Linked DNA regions of Tribolium castaneum. The protein of the gene in region 2 binds, or shares a complex with, the protein of the main gene of each other region. Links are inferred from orthologs where the notes say so. Each region holds a gene or a part of one and is shown on either strand. Other genes may lie near its edges. The genes, in order: bcn92 and ND-ACP.

What was found.
Region 1: the proteins of ND-ACP (region 2) and bcn92 are in contact, whole or in part, in a crystal structure (PDB 6ODD), measured with the Homo sapiens proteins. The link is inferred for Tribolium castaneum from reciprocal best matches to the Homo sapiens genes NDUFAB1 and LYRM4. Residues at the interface, in NP_004994.1 of Homo sapiens: Lys92, Asp111, Ser112, Leu113, Asp114, Val116, Glu117, Met120, Glu123, Asp124, Glu129, Ile130, Asp132; in NP_065141.3 of Homo sapiens: Arg6, Leu10, Ser11, Tyr13, Arg14, Leu17, Arg18, Lys21, Arg37, Phe40, Arg41, Lys44.

What each region holds. Positions count from the first base shown.
Region 1 is NC_087396.1:23,067,497-23,069,972, reverse strand, and holds bcn92 (protein bcn92), read left to right. Parts: upstream 1-1,340; 5' UTR 1,341-1,406; coding exon 1,407-1,483; intron 1,484-1,526; coding exon 1,527-1,647; intron 1,648-1,696; coding exon 1,697-1,765; 3' UTR 1,766-1,815; downstream 1,816-2,476. Other genes in the region: Mettl3 (N6-adenosine-methyltransferase catalytic subunit), read right to left, coding at 207-654, 702-1,283; Mat89Ba (nucleolar protein 6), read right to left, coding at 1,816-1,938, 1,983-2,476.
Region 2 is NC_087399.1:2,701,013-2,704,083, reverse strand, and holds ND-ACP (mitochondrial acyl carrier protein 1), read right to left. Parts: upstream 1,417-3,071; 5' UTR 1,376-1,416; coding exon 1,220-1,375; intron 1,111-1,219; coding exon of another isoform or gene 1,003-1,110; intron 979-1,002; coding exon 862-978; intron 787-861; coding exon 607-786; 3' UTR 552-606; downstream 1-551. Other genes in the region: SPRY domain-containing SOCS box protein 3, read left to right, coding at 1-97, 142-353; SWI/SNF-related matrix-associated actin-dependent regulator of chromatin subfamily A containing DEAD/H box 1 homolog, read left to right, coding at 2,078-2,177, 2,227-2,438, 2,486-2,693, 2,846-3,071. UniProt on the Homo sapiens protein: Carrier of the growing fatty acid chain in fatty acid biosynthesis.

The DNA.
Region 1 (2,476 bases), on a different chromosome or scaffold from region 2:
GCTGAAAAATGAAGGTAGCCATTTCAAGAGGAATTTTTAATTCTACAACAAAAAAATTTATAACTCAAAAGCTAAAAGTCGTAGAGCAAAACGGTTTGTTCCAGTGAATTCTGGGCTCATTTGACGTATTATGGCAGCTTTTCACAAGATTTTAAATTTTGGAAGTCACGACCAAACGCAAATATTATTAAGACCGACAAACAAACCTAAGACAGTCATGTCGAGATAGCGCAGGTCGCACTGCACCCACTGCGGGGGGTACAAGGTAGTGCTTTCTTTTGGGGCCACTGAGACGGCGGTGGCGGCCGGGGCTACGCCCTCCGTTTGCCCACAGCGATCGACTTCATAGTGGACGTATTTACAAGTGTCCATGTGGAAACAAGTGTTAAGGAAGGAACAATCCCCTAAAGCTTCGTCAGTGTGTTTTTGTATGATTTTTTTAAAATGCAATTTTTTGCAGTCTGTGATTCCGTTTCGTTCGCAGTCGGCGCGAGTCCCATGGGGGCAAAACTCCATCAGTTGTTTGCCCCCTTGAGACCTGAAGCGCTCGGCCAGCGAACGCTCTTTGGCCGTTGGTTTACTCAACAGATCTAGAATTTCTTCGCCCAGTTTTTTACTCTCTTTTTCTTTCGTTGAGGGCATTGATAGTAAAGACTAGGGAAATTAATTAATTAAAAGGACAGAATCAATCAGTTAATTACCATGATGTCAGCTTTTGGTTCCTTCTTCTCTTTTTTCCTCTTCTCTTCGTCTTCGTTTTTCTCCGAGTCGTTTCGCTTCCGCTTCAGGGATTCCCTCACCCGTTCAGGCAAAAACTCCGCAATCATTGCGTTAACTTTAGTCACATCGATAAAAGTCACTTCGACCACGTTCTTCCCCTCTTTGACTAAATCCTTGATAGTGATCAACTTCTGAGTTGAGAATTTTTGCAACAAATTGCAAACTTCCTTATGTGAGGCATGTCGCTTCAAAGTCAATTTCAACGAATCGACCAATTCCGTCGAAGTTGTGGGGATCTGAAGAGTGACTTCGCTCAGCGCCTTCAACAACTCTTTCTCCAGCTCTGGGTCGATTTTCACCAAATCGATTTCACCCTCCTCTGGTCTTTTAACATCTTCGCCCCCAACACCACCCGCATGGGGGCTGTCGGACAGGTGCACAGGTGACGAGTTGAGACTCGAACCAAGGATGTCCTGCCGCTCCTTCTTGCGCTTTTCCAGGCGTTCGCGCAGGATGTTCCGCTTGCTTTTGATAGCTTGGATCTCTTCCCAAGCGTCCGACATTTCAAAAGACTATTTTCCGCCAAAAAAACACAACTAACACATGTTTGAGGTTACGGCTAACGCTAACTAACACAACCTCAACTCTTTGGTTATGTTCTTTCGGTTTCGTAAAATTGGGGCAAAATGAGTAAAAGACAGGCGTTGCAGTTGTATAAAGCTCTGATTCGCGAGTCGAAGAAGTTTCCGGCTTATAACTTCAGGTAAGGGCGTTTTTGCAAACGATTTTTTCATTGGGGGTTGTAGACACTATGCCTTAAGGAAGATAAGGGACAGTTTTCGGGAAAATAGACAATTGACTGACCAGGACGTGATTAGGCAAAAAATGGATGAAGGAGTTCGTAATTTAGATGTAATTAAAAGACAGGTATTCACAATTAATTCGTTTAGGGGTTAATTGACGTAATTATCTCCAGGTGGTCGTAAGTCAATTATATAGCACCGAAAAACTGGTTATTGAGCACGTGAGGGCCCAAAAAAACTAATTTGTAAGGTTTGTAATGGTTAGAAATAATAAGAGTAATTGTTTGATTTTTTATTTCTTCTTATCAATTGACTTGACTAAGCCTTTTCCCACAATATAAAAGTCTTCAATCAACGCATCCACGTTCAGCTCCAATTTTCCATTCACAAGTTTCCTCCCGCTTGCATAAGACACCTAAAAATAAATGTAATAAATCAAAAAACATCTAAAAATCTCACCTTGAAGTCTCGACTTTCCAAAGCTTTAGGTATCCACAAAACCCCGATAAAATTACCTCCGTACGTATCGTGGAAAAAATTGGCAAAATCGCCGTAATGTTTGCGCAGTTCGGCCAAATACAACTGAACTGGGTTAAAGCCAGTGACTGGAATTTTCGTGCTTTCGTTTCTGTTAAATTCCTCCAAAACAATTTGCCCCTCGGACTCGTCCCCAGTGACTTGTTCGTGTCGTACGGGGTTCAAAAGGGGGCGCAAGTGAATAATAACATCGTACCCCTCAAGATTCGGAATAAACAAGCTTTTAATTGAACCAAAACTCTCTCCTTTGATGATTTGCCCAAAACAATTCAAAGACTCACTTGCCAGTTGTTTGACCCTCCGCAAGACCAACTTCGAGGGCCCCCTTTTGGTAAAAACAGACTCACAGCCGTCGTACGGCATTGCGATAAATAAATCGGGCAAAGCCTCGCGATTTTGGAGGAGTTTCGAGTCGA
Region 2 (3,071 bases):
TGTATTATCAAACATCCAGAATTGTACAAACAGTTCAAGAGCATCCCTGGATTAGCTAAAATCTACGAACACAATTTTTTCTGGATGCTTCCGAAAGGTGACTTAACTGTTAATAAAAACCAAGCTTTATTGTTTCTTTAGAATATGAGGACCCTAAACGAAAGGCTAAAGAAAACATATGGTCGTCCAAGCGACGAAAAATGCTGATACCGATCAAGTGGCCGCGCTGTCTCGACTCTGAACAACAAACGCTCAAGATCTCGTTACATTTCACCAACTATAGTGACTCAGAAAGTAGCTGTGATATGAATTATGATGGTTCCGGAGATGCATCAACTTCAAAGGAGGTTTAATAAAGATTTATTCATATTGAGTCTTTCATTGACCAATCCGAGTGCATTATGACGAGCACGTGACAATTCACGACCAATGGGAATGTAATGATCGTTTGACAGTTGGTAGAAAAATAGCGTATGTAATACAATGAAAACACTCAGTTAAAATTTACGCTTTATTAACAAATCAAATTACATTATGGTGCAATTCTGGCAAATCAGTGCCAAAACAAACACAACATTAAGCCTTATCTACTGTTTTACTACAAACCTATTCGTAAATGTCTTCCCTGTCCGCAACATACCTCACGATATCAGCGGGTTTTAGCAGTTTTTCGGCGTCTCCGTCTGGAATTTCGAACCCGAATTCGTCCTCCATGGCCATGATCACCTCCACATGGTCCAAGGAATCAAGCCCCAGATCATTAATAAAGTGTGAGTCTAGCGTGAGCTGAAACGAGTCAATCGTAACACGTCCGTCAGGATCATTCCAGAGACTGTGCCACAAAGTGCAAAATTACCGTACCTTGTCTGGATTGACTTTATCGTACAGTTTTAATACCAAGAGGACGCGGTCTGTGATAAGTTTTAAAGTCAACGGTGGCTTGGAACTGTAACATCGCTCAAGTGGCAAAACCAGTCTCTGAAATAGAAAATTATGTAGTACCTTGTCGGCGGTTACTTTATCATAAGACGCGCAAACTTTCAAAACTCTCTGTTTTATCTCCTCTTCAGTCGGTTTCGTCCGAATTACTTCAGGCGAGTAGAATCGCATCTAATAAAGTGAGGTTAGAAGTTATGTAATCACAAAAAACGCACTTTTTTCCACCAAATCACCCTAATTGAACGGAAATGCAACCGCTAATCGGACAAACTGGACGTACCTGGCTAAGGGGTGCAAATACTGAGCTGCTTGTAACCGGGGGCTGGTCATAATTTTTGTGTTTATTGGCAATGACAGTCAGTGGCCTAATCGCAACAGCTCGTAAATAACTCGAATTTCGGGATAAAACGCGCACGCTTTTTATCAAACCGGACATTTTTGCAAATATTGTTATTCAAAAACTTGGCCTAAATGTCAGCAAATGTCGAGAGGCGGAAACACACAGCGACATCTACGACGTCCGGTCGACTGTCAATCTTGAAAGCCGCGAAACTAAATTATATGTTTAGGTTAACGCAAAAAAATAAATTGCGTTCCCATTACTAGAGAAATGGCATAGAATTAAGAATTTTACTAGCCCCAAGTCACTAAATGAGCCTCTATGGCCCCCAATGACAATGAATTGAAGTACGAAAAGTGTGCTTTGGATTAATTTTACGTTTCATTGTTTTAAGACGCTACACAAAAAAAACCAATTTTACTTCAACTGGTGTTTATTTACAATAAATGCGTTAAATAATTTAACGGTAAGTCACCTTTTACGTTTTTGTGTTTGTTGATCTTAAAACCATTAACTTGTAAGTGTTGTAAGTCGTAGTTTCGTTTTTGTGGTTATTGCAGTTAACGTTGGGTAGAGGACTTTGTATTTTCGGGAAATTTATTATTTATTAGTTTATGAGAGTTGGTTTTAAATTACTTGCGCGAATTTTGCGCTTTTGCCTCATTGCTGCCACCTGTGAGCGGCAATAATCCCACTCTTCCACCATCGTCTGTCAAAGGTGTCTGGTGCCTCAATGAGAACGATTTTGTAGTTTTATACTTAATATTTTATGTTATTTATAAAATTGTAACTGGCGCAATGTCAGAGAACGGCAGCCCCACGTTATTAAATTTGCGCGATTTCCGAATACAAAAAAAGACGTTAAGTCACCACAGTAACAACGGTGCAATTAGCTCCGGTAAGACCAAGTTCATTTTAATTAATAAACTGTTAAACATTGTTTCCAGCATCCAATGGGGCTGTGAGGCGCCGAATAATTGCATTTTCAGATTCTGATTCCGACTGTGATAGTTCTGGAACAAATTCTCAATCTGCGGTGACTCCAAAACCAAATATTGTCATTGTCCCCAATTCGAAAAATATGAAGAATCCGGCCGTTTTGGAGAAGGAGAACCAGATGAAGTATTTAATGTCGTCATTCCCGAATGTTGATGCTATGGTACTGGAGCATGAAATTAGTTTCCTTAAGTGGCGTTTTTAATCTAGGTTATTCACGATGTGCTGTCTCGTCATGGGTTTAAAGTAGACGAAGCGGCGTCGGAGTTGGCCAGGTGTCACGCTGTCGAATTCAATTCGCAAGGTTACGCCAAGTGGAAGGAAGCGAACACTTCAAACAATCCCGAAAGCCTGGTGAAAAGCACTGGCAAGAGGAAACCCTCCCCTGAGAGCGCGCCCTACAACAAACGGAAAAAATGTAACTAGCTTAACAAGATAAAGCCCGGAAAAAAAAAACGTTAATTGAGAAACTTGTTTTTGCAAAATCTCGCTTTTATAATCGTGTCTTTTTTTGGCGGTCAAGCAATTTTCAAGCAGCTATTTCTGGTAAAAAAAAATAATTCTTTGTAGTTAAACGTCGGAAGTCCGATGACGACACGGACGACAGCACTGGCAGCAATCAGGACTTCAAAGACCGTCGCGTGTTTGACAGTGACGAGGATTCGGACGTCGAAATTAGCGATGAATTAACCGGGGACAAGAGGAAAGTTTTTGAATTCATGCAAACGGCAACTGAAAGCGAGCTCCAATTGATGAGTTTCTGTTCAAAAAAGAAGGCAGAGGCGATCATTGAAGC